Regions from separate parts of the Mus musculus genome. Here regions 2, 3 and 4 are each reported to be linked to region 1. The links are microRNA targets in miRTarBase. Many come from high-throughput screens and were not tested one by one. Region 1 holds a microRNA gene; each other region holds the end of a gene's coding sequence.

Region 1 (3,901 bases):
GCAACTTTGAGGCTAGCCTGGGCTACATAGCAGTTACCACCAGACCAGCACTGGTTACATTGCAAGACTGTTTCAAGAATAAGACAAAAAAAAAAAAAAATTAAAAGGTTTGAACCTGGTGGTGCACATCTGTAATTCCAACACTTGGAAGGCAGAGGCAGGAAGATCACGAGTTCAAGACCACCCTGTCTTAAAATAAAAATAAAAAGGCCATCATAAGCCACATGGTAAAATCCCGTGTTTTTGTTTTGTTTGGGGACATGTGGCCTGAAAGTACTGTGTAGCTGAGGACAGCCATGAGCTCCAGATCTTCTGGCCTCTACCTCCTGAGTTCTGGGATTACAGGCATGTGCAACCATACCTAGTTTGAAACTGCTTTAACCAAACAACATAAAGCTTGTTTTAAAATGTACCTTTGGAATTCAAAATGAGACAGAATGGCCATATCTCCTCCCCCTCAGCCCTGGTCCGGGGGAAGAGTTTCCCAGAAAGTGAGAAAGCTGAAGAGACTTTTATAATGAAAGTCCAGACGTAAGAGACGCAGACAGCGCTGAGTCACTGGTTTCCTGGCAGAGTTGCTGGGATGGAAGAGTTTACCTGTTACTGGAAACCCGAGTTCTCTAGGTTTGCTATTTCAGTGTGTGTAGCTGCAGCAGCACAGAGCTCAGACCAGCCCTGCGTTGAAAATTCAGCTAAGCCTGCATGGAGGGCTAAGGGGTTGATGGAGCCTTACTGCCATATGAGACAAAAAATAAATAAATAAATAGAAGGAAAGTCAACTCTCACTCAGCAACCAGTGATCACTATTCAGGATTCTAGACTGCTGAGAAGCTTCAAGCTTAAATTACTGTTTCTTCTCTTTTCTTTGAGATATTACAGACACCTTATAGCATCCTTGCCCCAGACAGAAGAAGCCACCTTTTTTCTGAACCCATGTATTATTTTCTCCCAAGATTTTATGCTTTTATGCTTTGGATATGACTCGTGGTTTGGGATCCTGGGTTGCATGCCTCTGAGGGCACTGACATACTTTGTTCTTATGCCCCCAAACAGTTGCATTAAGTCTAATACATTCCTCACACCTATGGCGCCCCAAGGGGTAAATGGTGGCTAAACAGTTAGTCTACCCATGAAGGAAAAGAAGCCAGGAGTCCTTCCTCCCCTTGATCTTAGCCAGAAGGCCAAGAAACAGTCAGGAGTCCTTTCTTTAAGCATGCAGATAGATGTCTTAGTGTCTGCACATTTCCCTTTTACATCAGCTGGTCCAAGCTCAAGGCGCGTTGGTGTCCAGCTACTCTCAATACTGTCCAGGTAAAAGGACTAGAATTACAGCAGGCAAACCTTTGTGCTCTTCAAGGCTCTATGGGAATCCCAGCAGCTCAGCCCTATTTCTGGCTTTCCAGGGCTGCTGTGGACCTGGTATCTCTGTGTCTTCTCTGTCCCTACACTGAGTAGGGTTTGGATCTGTCTCTTTTCCGTGGAGTCATCAAGTCTGTAAGCCCCTTGTGGGCAGGGATCCGGCTCCTGGTTTGGCAATCCTAGACCTCTGCAGGGTTCTGGGCTTTCTACCTTCTTCGAACTGGAGGAGCCACGCCCCCAGGAAGAAGCCACGCCCCAGGAAGAAGCCACCCATTTCTGGTATGGTTGCTGCAGCTGGTGTTGTGAATCAGGCCGACGAGCAGCGCATCCTCTTACCCGGCTATTTCACGACACCAGGGTTGCACCCTACCCATCCTCTCCAGGCAAGCGCCGTGGGACCACAGGACACAGGAACTTGGGGACAGGGTGGGTTGGGACAACTGACTGTGAAAGGTGATGTTCAGTAGTCCATAGCCTCCCTATCATACCTCACCTCATAGTCACCTGGGAAGCTTTAGACAGATGCCAGGGTCTGCCCTCCCCTTGCTCAGCCCAAGCCCACAAAGGCTCTGAGGTGTGATCTCAGAGCCAGCGATCCTGAGAGGTTCTAATCCACGTGCAGCGAGGAGGAAGCAGGCGAGCCCAGGGCTCAGAGTTGAACTGCTCCCCTGTGCTTGGCTGACCGTGCAGTGGCATCTGCCGGCCCTCCCCAGTCCCACTCCTTTAGATTTGATGTACACCACCCAACTGCTGCTCCTGGTACCAAAACACCCAGGGCAAAAGCAGCTCCTCTTCCTGGCATCCAAAGCCCTTCCTGTCAAGGATTCCTACTCAGAGACATCTCTGTCCATGGAGCTCTCCCACCCCACCCTCCAAAAAGAAAAAAAACTGACTTCATACACAATGCTAATGCTATCATCTCTGTCTTCAGGACACGATACCCCATTGCCACTTGTAAATAGCTCTATGAGCCCCCGGGTTCCTTTTTTCACATGCACACCCTGCCTGCCTGGTCCTAACACACAGGCCTTCCTGCTCCGTTGGAAGCCCAAGCCACCTTTTGTCCAGGGCCTTTGCTCTTCCTGCCTACCTCCCCCACCCCATCCCCCACCCCCTTTGCAGTTCCTGCTCACATATGGGTGGCCAAGCTCAAGATTTGCATCCTCAGAGAGACCTAAGAAAAGCTTTATTTTCTTCATAGCACGTATCACTACGTGTATTTTGGTGATTGCTTGTCTGTGCATTGCTGCCTGTCTCGCCCTCTAGAATGTGAGCCCCCAGAGGACAGGGATTTGTTTTGGGGAGGGTGGGGGGTTGCTCAGCACAGAAAATCATATGTGTTATTACCTAATGATCGAGGTGGAATGGATAGATGACCCCTTCAGCCTGCTATCCCACCAATTCTCTGTCACCAGCCAACCCACCTCTTCCTCTGTCCCTGCCCACCTTTTCCCTCAGCCCCCATCTCCTGTGAGGTCCCTTTCTCTGCTGGTGCTTCATGCTCTAAGCTTCCAGGCTCAGAACCTGGTCTATATGAGAAACTTTTTGGAGGGGCCTCTGTGGCCAAGAAGATGGCAGGACTACTGTTGGGTAGCTATGATGTGCCCTCCTGTCCTTGTGGCTCAGCCAGAGGATATTGTTTCTGATCTGAGTCTGTCTGGTCCTTGGCTGGCCTTGGTACAGTGTGGCTCCCACCTTGCTGTTGTGGTGGGGAGACTTGCTCAGAGACACCCCTAAAACAAACAGAATGGAAACTCCTTGAGGTTCAATTCCAGGACTACTCAGAGTAGGGGTCCTATGTCCTCTCAGAAGCTGGATTCAGGATGTATGCCATTCCATTTTCAGGGCAGTCATTTTCAGGGTCTGTGCTTTGGCACAAGGTGTCAAACAGTCACCAACTGTCCTACTGATAAGCCCCTTAAGGGACCCAGCCTAAACCTCTTTCTACTCCAGAGAGTGCAGTGGGGCAGCAGGTTTGGGGAAGCAGCCCTACATCCCTTGCAGCTAACATGAGTGCTTTGCAGAAAGGAAGAACTTATGTGCCAAGGTCATTCAGCAATTTCATAGCCTCTTACTCCTGGCTGAAAACCAGCCCTGGCCTCTTCTATCCCAAGATCTTTATCAGGAATTTTCCGTAGCTGCCAGGGCACAGTGTGTTGGAATGGTGTGGGGATGCTGGGGAGCTGTGATTTTTGCCAGGTAGCTGGCGATTTAAAACTCAGAAGATAAGATCTACCCCAAGGGCCATGGACCTGCTGGGGGGTGGCGTGGGGGAGGCTTTACAAATCTCACCATCCCTGCCAAGGTAGAAAACTGGCCCGGAGGAGTCCTTGGCCCCTGAGTCCTTACTTCAAGCCTTCAGCCCTGCTGGAAGCTGGCAGAGGAAAGAAGTGTTTATGTCTTCCTCTGCCCGCCACTTAATGTCCAATAGAGGCAGGATCTGTGCCATGGGAATCCCCAAAGACCCCTTGTAAGCTCGTCTCCACCTGGCTTAGCTCTCCTTGGTTCTAGTCTCCATTCATTCCCTGTACAACCAACAAGC
Region 2 (3,901 bases), not on the chromosome of region 1:
CACAAAGAGACCAACAAATCTGCTTTACAGATCCCTGGAGAGGCTAAGTCTGGTCATGCCACCATCCTCAAACCACTGAGGGCAACATGGAAAACAATGGCACATCCCCTAACTCTGGCTTCGCCTTGGGCTGGCCCCCATGGTATCTGAGCCCCAGGGGGCAGCAGAGAATGTGTATCAAAAGCCCAAAGCAGGTTCACATCCCTGGTCTGTGACTGACTTGCTCTACAGTCCCTGATAAACCATCTCCTCTAATTCTCCAGCCATAGGATAAATGGGTTTACCTAAGCTGACCGTGAAAGGCTCTCCAGACCCACAGTCATGCCAAGTGCAGAGAATGAGAAGGCTTTAATGTGAAGGAGGCCTGAGCACCATTGTGGCAAAATCCTCAAGCCATGGAAAGTATCAGCACATGATGACAAAGTAAGGATTTGGCCAGCAAAAACCTGAGTCGGGAGAAACGGCAGCTGAGAGCCAAAGGAGGGCCGTGTCTCTAATAATCCATAATTAGTAAGACACATGTGCATATAGCCATTCATTCATTTATTTATTTTATTTTTCAGTGCTGGGAACTCAACCCAGGGCTTCACACATGCTAGAATAGTATCATTGACCACATTCCCAGACCTCTTGTTGTTGTTGTTGTTGTTGCTGCTGCTGCTGCTGCTGCTGCTGCTGCTGCTGCTGCTGCTGTTCTTGGTGAGACAGGGGTTCTCTCTGGGTAGCACTGGATGTCCTGGAACTCACTCTGTAGATTGGGCTGGCCTCAAACACTCAAGAGATCCGCCTGCCTCTGCCTCCCAAGTGCTGGTATTAAAAGCGTGCACCACCACTGCCCGACCCTTTTTAAAGGTCTTTAAAATGGGATCTCTCTTAGTTGCCTAGGCTGGCTTTCACTCTGTAGCTCAGGCTAGCCATGAGCTCTCAATACTCTGAGAGTCCTCTCGTGTACCTGGGATTATAGGCCTGTGCACCAGGCCTGGCTCCATACTTGATATTGATGGAGAGAAAAAAACAAAAAAAACAGTCCTATTGAGCTCTAACTGTGAGGAATTTGTTTATTTCTATCATCTAGAATGACCAGATAAATAGGTGAGCAAATATAGAAGGTTATGCCCACAAACTGTTTGCTATAATGGGGCCCAATTCAGACCCTGGCCCCCAGACTCTGAGAGCATAGGTACAGGAAAGTGACCAAGGCAGACACGGGGAGCCTCCAACAAAAAGACTCTACCTATATGTGAAGCCCTCAGCAGGCAATGGTGACAGTGGTCCCCACGAGCAAACCTACTCTGAAAAGCACCCATGGGTACACTGTGGATGCATTCTGACACCAGTGTCCACTGCTCACGTGTTTACCTCACAGAGACACCAAGGATGCGGCTGAAAAGCTCTTCTCCTGAAGCTCTGGCCTGCAACTCAGTGTCCAATGGGAATACGTTCCCAAGGTCAAGAACACGGGGACAGAGCCACTCCTAGAGGATACCAGAACCCCAGCGTAAAGACAAAATCCCCAGAGTCTCTGATCCTGTGCACAAGGACAGAAGGAAAGAAATGGTACAAACCACTCCACTTCCCTAAGCCTGTCTGGTCCTCAGAGCCAGCTCACCTTGCTTACCTCCTTCTCAGTCTTAGGAACACACACAGGAGCCAGGTCTGCAAGCCATGGCCCAACTTCTAGCTAGACTGTCCAGAGCCCAGTGGAGATGGGAGGCCCTTCCCAGGACACATCAGCTCTGACCTAGAGCCCCTCACACCCTCACGATGGAAGAAGGGCCCACAGGGGCCGCCCCAGGCCTCACTGTTCTCTATGGCTTTTTATTCCTATGTGATTCTATTGCTCGCTCATATAGGGATTGGAGCCGTGGCGTACGGTGAGGATAAGCCAACAGAGGGCTCTGATGTGGAACAAGAGGGCTCGAGGTAAACCAGGCCAGTGGCTGCAGGCCAAGCCAAGTGACTCACCTCTGCCAGCTATGACAGGATGGGGTGAGGGACTGCTGAGGTCCTTCACTGCTCTGACCTACCATTCTAGTGCTGAGACACACACTGAAATGCTGGCACCAGGGTCCCAACTGGGTACCCGGAGGAGCGACAATGGAACATGGAATGTTTAGCCTGGGAAAAGTGGGCACAGGAGAACAAGTGCAATGCCTGCGGCCTGAAGAAACCCCTTGATAGCCAGAGGGTGAGGGGGAAAGCTGAGAGTGGTCCAAATACAGAAGGAAGAGCCGTGGTGACAAGTGGATCGTCTCCACCCAGTCAGGCAACAGCAGGAGAGGAGAAACCATGATCAGGTTTCTACCACAGGGAGTCAGGGTTAAGTAGGCAACTATAAGCCTGTCCTGTTAACCCACATTGACACTGCTAGGAGACAGATTCAATTGTCACAGATTGCCATCAGCAGACCCTGAGTGTGCACCCAGCCAAAAAGGGTATGAGAAACTCTTCAAGGTACTGGCACCACTGCTGGGGCCACACCACGGGTCCCTGCCCAGCAGCTCCCCGAGGATCTGTGCTATGGAAAGAGGTGCTGAGGGGAGATGAGCTGAGACCCCCACACACAACATTCTCTTTATTTTCAGTGCCCTACCTTCGCTCCATGGAAGAGACAGGCTGAGGACCTGGGCAGGAAGGCATCCAGGGAGAAAATGAGAACTGTGACTGGCCAAGAAGCTCCTGCTGGGCCTCAGGGCTACCTGCTGTCATGACAGAAACTAGGGGTAGAAAGAAGCCCCCATCTTCTAATCTAGTTGGGGGAACAAGCATAGAGTAGATCCGAGGGAGGCGGGCAGAGCAACGGAGGAAAAGTCCTGCGGCACAGTGGGGCCTGGGAATCGGCCCTTGACCTTCCTAAGAGGCCCTGCCCTTGAAGGCCTCTTCTACACTCTCACACGGTGAGCGACACCATCACTGAGGATGAAGAATCAGGAGGTGGACATCCATAACATTGGTCCCTGTCAACCCTGTGTGCAGCAAATGTGTTCCTCCCCGGAAGCGGCAAAAGAAAGTGTATGAGTCGTTATTGGCGAGGGAGGTGGCGATGTCCAGGCTCTCAGCAGAAGCCTGGCTGATGAGATCAGACATGACCCAGGCCCCGGCCACCTTTGTAGGCCCATCCTGCCCATCAGTGCCTCCACTCAAAAATAGCACATCAATAGGTCCCAGTGGCTGCCTTCCCAGCTCCACTCCCACGTGCAAGGCCAGTTCTTGGTTCCGACCGCCCTTGCCAGATCCCTGCAGCTGCACCGTGGGCTCACCACCAGCCAGGAGGCAGACCGGCCCTTTAGCCTTTACCACCGCTTCCAGAGCCTCCTCCAGCTGCAGGTCCGGGAGCTGGAGCTCAGCTGCCAGCTGATGGAGTTCCGCCTCCTCCTCCAAGGGACGCTCAGCCAAGGATGGAGTGAGGTGGGCTGCAGCCACCCGGGCTAGCAGCCCGTAGAACCGAGCCACTCTTTTTACATCACCCTGCATGGCTGTGCTCAACACCATGGCATGGTAGCCCAGCACCTCGGCTTGCCTCTGAGCCTCAGCCAGCGCCAGAGAGTTAGAGCCGATGATCACATTGAGGACGTGGCCACAGGTGTGTGGTCCATGGGGGTCAGAGTCAGCTCGGGAGAGCACAGTCTTCACAGAGCGGGGAAGAGCAGCACGGAGGCCATAGTGGTTGAGAATATGCAGGCAGTCTTGCACACTGTGGGTGCTGGCCACCGTAGGGCCACTGGCAATCACTTCCAAAGGGTCCCCAATCACATCTGACAAGATGAGGCTTATCACCTAGACAAAGGCCACAAAATAAGGTTCAGTCTTGCCTCCTCCGTGTTCCGGGGCCCTTAAGGACAAACTGGGCCTGGGTATACAGCATCTGGTATGCTTCCTTGCCCACATCTACCCACATCTT
Region 3 (3,901 bases), not on the chromosome of region 1:
CCCCGCGTGAAGTGACGGACCGTTCTATGACTGCAAAGATGGAAACGACCTTCTACGACGATGCCCTCAACGCCTCGTTCCTCCAGTCCGAGAGCGGTGCCTACGGCTACAGTAACCCTAAGATCCTAAAACAGAGCATGACCTTGAACCTGGCCGACCCGGTGGGCAGTCTGAAGCCGCACCTCCGCGCCAAGAACTCGGACCTTCTCACGTCGCCCGACGTCGGGCTGCTCAAGCTGGCGTCGCCGGAGCTGGAGCGCCTGATCATCCAGTCCAGCAATGGGCACATCACCACTACACCGACCCCCACCCAGTTCTTGTGCCCCAAGAACGTGACCGACGAGCAGGAGGGCTTCGCCGAGGGCTTCGTGCGCGCCCTGGCTGAACTGCATAGCCAGAACACGCTTCCCAGTGTCACCTCCGCGGCACAGCCGGTCAGCGGGGCGGGCATGGTGGCTCCCGCGGTGGCCTCAGTAGCAGGCGCTGGCGGCGGTGGTGGCTACAGCGCCAGCCTGCACAGTGAGCCTCCGGTCTACGCCAACCTCAGCAACTTCAACCCGGGTGCGCTGAGCAGCGGCGGTGGGGCGCCCTCCTATGGCGCGGCCGGGCTGGCCTTTCCCTCGCAGCCGCAGCAGCAGCAGCAGCCGCCTCAGCCGCCGCACCACTTGCCCCAACAGATCCCGGTGCAGCACCCGCGGCTGCAAGCCCTGAAGGAAGAGCCGCAGACCGTGCCGGAGATGCCGGGAGAGACGCCGCCCCTGTCCCCTATCGACATGGAGTCTCAGGAGCGGATCAAGGCAGAGAGGAAGCGCATGAGGAACCGCATTGCCGCCTCCAAGTGCCGGAAAAGGAAGCTGGAGCGGATCGCTCGGCTAGAGGAAAAAGTGAAAACCTTGAAAGCGCAAAACTCCGAGCTGGCATCCACGGCCAACATGCTCAGGGAACAGGTGGCACAGCTTAAGCAGAAAGTCATGAACCACGTTAACAGTGGGTGCCAACTCATGCTAACGCAGCAGTTGCAAACGTTTTGAGAACAGACTGTCAGGGCTGAGGGGCAATGGAAGAAAAAAAATAACAGAGACAAACTTGAGAACTTGACTGGTTGCGACAGAGAAAAAAAAAGTGTCCGAGTACTGAAGCCAAGGGTACACAAGATGGACTGGGTTGCGACCTGACGGCGCCCCCAGTGTGCTGGAGTGGGAAGGACGTGGCGCGCCTGGCTTTGGCGTGGAGCCAGAGAGCAGCGGCCTATTGGCCGGCAGACTTTGCGGACGGGCTGTGCCCGCGCGCGACCAGAACGATGGACTTTTCGTTAACATTGACCAAGAACTGCATGGACCTAACATTCGATCTCATTCAGTATTAAAGGGGGGTGGGAGGGGTTACAAACTGCAATAGAGACTGTAGATTGCTTCTGTAGTGCTCCTTAACACAAAGCAGGGAGGGCTGGGAAGGGGGGGGAGGCTTGTAAGTGCCAGGCTAGACTGCAGATGAACTCCCCTGGCCTGCCTCTCTCAACTGTGTATGTACATATATATTTTTTTTTAATTTGATGAAAGCTGATTACTGTCAATAAACAGCTTCCTGCCTTTGTAAGTTATTCCATGTTTGTTTGTTTGGGTGTCCTGCCCAGTGTTTGTAAATAAGAGATTTGAAGCATTCTGAGTTTACCATTTGTAATAAAGTATATAATTTTTTTATGTTTTGTTTCTGAAAATTTCCAGAAAGGATATTTAAGAAAATACAATAAACTATTGAAAAGTAGCCCCCAACCTCTTTGCTGCATTATCCATAGATAATGATAGCTAGATGAAGTGACAGCTGAGTGCCCAATATACTAGGGTGAAAGCTGTGTCCCCTGTCTGATTGTAGGAATAGATACCCTGCATGCTATCATTGGCTCATACTCTCTCCCCCGGCAACACACAAGTCCAGACTGTACACCAGAAGATGGTGTGGTGTTTCTTAAGGCTGGAAGAAGGGCTGTTGCAAGGGGAGAGGGTCAGCCCGCTGGAAAGCAGACACTTTGGTTGAAAGCTGTATGAAGTGGCATGTGCTGTGATCATTTATAATCATAGGAAAGATTTAGTAATTAGCTGTTGATTCTCAAAGCAGGGACCCATGGAAGTTTTTAACAAAAGGTGTCTCCTTCCAACTTTGAATCTGACAACTCCTAGAAAAAGATGACCTTTGCTTGTGCATATTTATAATAGCGTTCGTTATCACAATAAATGTATTCAAATAATGGTTTTTAAAATCTTGAATTTCCTTTCCCTTTGCTAATCTTTGCTTCCTAAGCCGTATACTGGGGGTTTTCCAAGTTTCTGGGGTTAGTGCTATTGCATTCTACACTTAGCAATTTAGAAGCAAAGCATTTAGAAAGAGTAGAAGGAGAAGCTGGGGCCTGGTTGAACTATTCTCCCGACCCTCTCCCAATTCCCACTTGCCACCCTCCCCACCCCTCACCCCTCCAGGGTGACCTCACAACCAAGGAAGTGACCAGTGTAACAAATCCATGTTTATTTCTTAATTTGTTTCAAAATAATCAATCTGGCTTAATTATTGAGGCAGTCTGGAAAAGTCCTATTATAAATACTATGGGACAGAGTCACAAGAGAGATGGGCCCAACACTGATTATATAACATCTGTAATCCAAACCTCAGCTCTGGGGAGACTGAAAACTTGAACTGTGTCTACAGATACAGCTGAGGTTATCAACAGGTTTGTATTCAACAAGGGAATAATTTTTGCTTCGTCCCTTCTCATCCCCATGAGCTGCTGTGATTATCAAGCAGCGGCAGCAATTTGATATCCAGAAACACTTCACAAACCACTAATTGGAGCCTGGCTGTTAGCCCTGCTCCAGTGCTCAACAGGTCTAGGAGTACCTGTGGTGGTAAATCCAAATTCTCACTTCCTCAGGAGTACAGCTAGGTCTGCAGAGGCTCCGACAGGCTTGCGGGTTACCAGACATACTCCATTGTAGTAATACTCCTTTGAACAAGGAGTTACTGGGAGCCGAGGCACTTTTCCAAACAGTGAATTTGCTGAAGTCAGCAATCCAGAAGGTGAGTGGATTTTGACCATATGTAGGAATAGCAGAGGGACAGTAAAGCACTTTAGGGTGGGGCTCTGTGGAAGCTAAACAAGAGCAAAGTAGAAAACACACACAGGCTAGGGAATTGATCACCCTGCATGGCTAGACTAAGCCTCTGACAACAGCACAATGGAGAAATGCTGCAGCACTCCCCAGGTGGCTAAAAAGAAAAGAGAACAAAAAAGTTCAAAGGTTTTCAAGCTTATCCTTACACTAGTTCCTTTCAACTAGTATTTTATGTACCTGAAATTCTGACTGTTCTAACCTAAAGAGGCAGAAAAAATAATAATAATGGTAAAAAAGGAAATTCAATAATGGTAAACTGCAAAAGCAGAAAATCAGCTAATTACTGTAGACAAATGACTAAATCTGTTATGGACTTTCAGTGTGCTATACTTTAGGTAGCACTTAGGATGAAGATAATGGCATATAAAGTCATCAATTCTGTCTTAATTATCTATATAAATATATGTACATATGTATAATTAATTCATAGACTATTAACTCTCCATTAGGACAGAGAGTTTATGTAATCAATAGAAATGCCCACATGGAAATATTGTTATCTTTTCTTTACCTCCCAAGAGCTCAGTGACACAACGCCCTGAATCAGATGAAACATGTTGAGCATCAGAAGCATCTTTGTATGGATCTAGGTCTCTGGGCCTTTTAAAGTTCCAGGCTTCTGCTTGTATTATCCTACTCTGCCCTCCGGCCAGACTTGCATTCTGGTTCAAATGATCACTCTCACCTGTTCTCAGAGGACTTGCTGTCCTAGTCTGAGTTCACACTTTGATTTCTTT
Region 4 (3,901 bases), not on the chromosome of region 1:
TATGTGTGCAATATGAATGCCTGGTGCCTGTGTTCTGGAGGCCAGAAGCGAGCATCAGATACCCTGAAACAAGAGTTCTGGATGCTTGTGAGCCACCCCGGGAGTGCTGGAAATAGAACTCAGGTTCTCTGCAAGAATACCAAGTGTTCTGAGTTGCTGAGTGTTCTCTCAGTTCCCATGGAACTGAATTACTTATTCACATACAACCTATGCTTAGGAAAGACAAGGTACACACACAAAGAAATTCACCCTATATGACTACAGTTGGAGAAATGCTACTGAACAGCAGACAAAAACAAAAAACCCAATCTTTATCTTAAATAAATAATCCTAAAGTTAATTCGGGAATTTGTGCCAGGTGTCTGAGAATATCTTTATTCTTGATTACCCAGCACAAAAGATAATGTTTATAAAACTGTACAATGTACTGAGTCATAGGTTTAGTCTGCCTATAGTGTAATTTATATTTTTCTTTTAATTCTCAGAAGTTACTGATCTAGAAATAGTTTCGGCGGCCCTCTCTATGAGGGAATAGCCTCTCTAAAGCTACAATCCTTCCTCTCTGAAAGGTGTGTTAGATATTCCTGATTACAGAAATGCCCCTGGCATCTCTTTTGAGTGCTAAGAGGTGCTTTCAAAGATGTACATATTGCCATTAGTGATGCTCAGAACCGGAACGTTTGGCAAGTTTTTGGTGGTTTTCTGTTGTAAGGGATCCTGAGTAGATCTTTGATTTTATGCATACTGCTTGGGTAAAGATCCAGTGGTCTTTACCCAAGGTTCTCTTGCTGTATGTAGGTCTAGAGAATGCCAGCAGCCAGCCACGATGCTCACTCATTCAATGATGGCAGGTCTGGGTCAACTATTTTGTTTGTGTTAGAAACCGTATTTGAAGGGGCCGAGGAGGAAGCTCAGTCGCAATGCTTATCTATCAATGTAAGACACCATAGATCCTCAGTCTCACAAAGAAAAGAAAGGAAGAGGAGGAGGATGGAAAGCAGATTTTAAAGGGAGGGCATCTGAGTTATAAAAGAGGAGTCAAAGTGACAATTTTTTTTGAGGCGTGTCTCTAGTGCATAGCTGAACATGACCTTGAATTTCTGATCCTCCTGCCTCCACTTTCCAAGTAATGGAATTACAAGCGTGTACCTCTTAGACCTGCTTTTCCTTCCTACAACTTAGGATAACTGGTAATACCATAGTTACTTAACACCCTTAAAAGTTCCCAAAGTACATTAATAAACTTTAAATAGTGACAAGCCTGTACATAAATCATTTACAAGTATCCCTGTGGGTGGAAGGTGTTTATGCTGTCATGAAATCATTGGATATTCCTGACGAGAATCTGCCTACAGAACAGAAGGTACACTGTCTGCTGGGCACTGGAAAACTGAGCACAACATGGCCTTACTAATGAAGATGAACATAATCTGGAGACTAATTAAAATCGACAGTGTGCTAGCAAAAGAAATACAAGTCACCTGATGAGATGTGTGCATAGCATCACACAAAGGTTCTCTTAATACCATCTTAATCTTTTGTACGCGTCAATATATGTGGTGTGCATGCATGTATGTGAGTCTGTGTGTATATATGCATTCATAGGTGTGTGTGCGTGTGTGTGTGTGTGTGTGTGTGTGTGTGCATATGTGAACAGGATATATGTATGAGTCTGTACATAGAGAGAACAGACATTGACTTTGGGAATCTTCCTTTTTTACTAAGGTAGGGGTGGTCTCTCAAAAGAGCTGCCTCTCATCCATCGGCTCCTCTCGCCAGCCAGCTTGTCCCAGGAAATCCTGTCTCTTCCTCCTGAGTGCTGGGACTACAGGCAGACCATCAAGCCCACCCAGATTTGTATGTAGGTATGGGGACACAAACTCCAATCCCCATGCCTGTACTAGACATGACTTATCCATTGAGCCACCCCCCATCCCTTTTAATTTTAAGATCATTAAAACCTAATTCTGGTATCAAAACACATTATTTTAATGAAAAAATTTATATGTACATATAGGAAATGTCTATTTAAAATATCTTAGTATGCTAAAAGCTATTAAATGTTTCCCTGTCACACTGCACAGACTTCATCTAAAAATATAAGATACAAAGTGTCTAGATTATATATATATATATTTTTTTTTTTTAAAAAACTTAATTCTTACTAAATTTCAGCTTATGATTCAATAAGTTAACTTACTTGGTTGAGTTTTTTTTTCTTTTTATCAAAAATATTGGTTATAAAATGATACAGTATTAAAAAGCCAAGTTTAATTAAAAAACCAAATAGTCCCTTCTGATACGGAAATATTATAGAGATTTAAATAGTAAGAATTCCATTTAATCCAGAATAATATCAAAGTAAACAGCAGGAGCCATTGGTACTTAGGATTGCTGGACCAGGATTCCTGACCAATAAATTAGGTGCCTATTACAGCACATTTCAAAACCTTGCTGGCTTCTACTGTGTACCCCTGCCTCAGCCTTCGGAGCTGGGATTACAGGCACACACTAGCGCCAAGCAAACCATTGCTTTGTGGCTGAGCACAGTAACTAGTGTTTAAGAGTATCGGAGTTGCTATTAGCAGATAACCTCCACAGTTAACCTGTGTTCAAAAATATACCACCAATAGTTAAAATTCTAGTAGTGTTCTTGGACTTTTACACTTCCCTCAAACAGCAGACATCATTAGCAAGATGATACAGGTCAAAACTCACACATTTGTCCATTGATACACAAAATGCATGGGTCCTTTCCCTGACCCAGCTTCATCCCATCTTGACTTCATGTCTGCAGCTCTCCGGACAGACACAAATAGGAAGATCTTTGGTGATCCTTGTGGCTCGCCATTCATTGATCACCCTGATTTGCTGAAACGATACAAGTGTATTTATTTCCTAAGCTTCTTATTTCCGGTCATAACAAAATAATGGTCATCTTCTTCCTTCTTCCTGGCAGTGGGCATTTTATCTCCGCTGTCTGCCCCCTTACCAGATGAGGGTGGGTCCCTGAAGGAAGTTGGTGGCTTGCTGCTTTTGGGAGGCCCTTTAGCTGAGTACTGGCCCTTCATGGCAGTCTTGGCTGACTTCGAGACAGTTTCTGTCTTGGTAGCAGATTGGGGAACAGTCACAATAGACAGCGGGGTACGGCCAGGAGACTTTGAAGAGCCAGGTCCCGGATTCCGGCAGACACCCTTACTCTGAGGTTGCTTTTTGGCAACTGAAACTGTATTCTTACCTTTCGATCCCTGAGTAGCTTTTGCAGAGGACCCTGAGCACACAGAAGCTGGACTGTTTAAATTCAATGTAGACTGAAGTCTTTGTGCTGAGACTGCTCCTGACCTCGGCGTTCTAGTGGGTGGCTGAGACTGTGTCCCTAGACCTATGGCTCCGGTTTTAGAACTGGGCTTGGTCACTTTGGCAGGTGGCTGGAAAGGAGAAGGGTTAGGCCTTCCGTGCATGGCTCCTTTAGGTAGCTTTGGGGACTTGGATGATAAGTTTATACGTGACTCATCCCTAGAAGAAAGATGATTGTGTTTCAAATGCTTTGGTTCCATTTTTCCAGGAGATTTACTTGGTAAAAGTCTGGACTTAGACAGATCTCTTGAATTCTGGGCTGGAATAGCCTTGGTCTGTGCAGTCTTGGGGAAGGTGACACATTTTCGCGATGACTCTGAGGCACACTGTGCAGTGCTTGGTTTAGACCCTGGATTTGGAGAAGCCAGGGACTGCGATACACTGTTGGAAGGAGCAGTCGTCTTTTTTGCTGCGTCCTTCAAAGATGTCACCTTGGGATGTGGAAATGATGCTGGAGAATCTGGCCGTTTAGCCCGGGTAGACGGGGAAGCCAAATTACCTTTTACTGACGATGCAGGCAGACGTGCACCTGGTAGACGTACCT

Evidence for each region. Region 1 holds the annotated microRNA mmu-miR-138-5p (AGCUGGUGUUGUGAAUCAGGCCG, at 1,652-1,674, shown strand). A microRNA usually pairs through its seed, bases 2 to 8, with sites in the 3' UTR of a target mRNA and lowers its output. Matches are read on the target gene's strand: a 7mer-m8 pairs with bases 2 to 8, a 7mer-A1 pairs with bases 2 to 7 and ends in A, and an 8mer does both.
Region 2: the mRNA of Glyctk is a reported target of mmu-miR-138-5p. Seed matches in the 3' UTR shown: 7mer-A1 at 806-812.
Region 3: the mRNA of Jun is a reported target of mmu-miR-138-5p. The part of its 3' UTR that is shown has no 7-base or 8-base seed match.
Region 4: miRTarBase lists Gas2l3 as a target of mmu-miR-138-5p. The part of its 3' UTR that is shown has no 7-base or 8-base seed match.

The regions. Positions count from the first base shown.
Region 1 is chr8:94,322,661-94,326,561 of GRCm38, forward strand. It overlaps Mir138-2 (microRNA 138-2), which reads left to right and starts at 1,651; the gene lies at 1,651-1,721. It also overlaps a transcript of Nup93 not described here.
Region 2 is chr9:106,152,331-106,156,231 of GRCm38, forward strand. Glyctk (glycerate kinase) reads right to left here. Exons shown (of 4, transcript NM_174846.4): 4 at 530-3,777. The coding sequence ends at 2,911. It overlaps D030055H07Rik (a long non-coding RNA gene), which reads left to right. Exons shown (of 7, transcript XR_003948237.1): 3 at 1-423; 4 at 564-699. It overlaps Mir135a-1 (microRNA 135a-1), which reads left to right and starts at 1,794; the gene lies at 1,794-1,883.
Region 3 is chr4:95,047,397-95,051,297 of GRCm38, reverse strand. It overlaps Jun (jun proto-oncogene), which reads left to right. Exons shown (of 1, transcript NM_010591.2): 1 at 1-2,262. The coding sequence starts at 27. The coding sequence ends at 1,031. Among named protein-coding and RNA genes, the nearest start is that of Jun, 2.9 kb to the left of the region's middle.
Region 4 is chr10:89,410,312-89,414,212 of GRCm38, forward strand. Gas2l3 (growth arrest-specific 2 like 3) reads right to left here. Exons shown (of 11, transcript NM_001033331.2): 11 at 1-3,901. The coding sequence ends at 2,892. Among named protein-coding and RNA genes, the nearest start is that of Gas2l3, 32 kb to the right of the region's middle.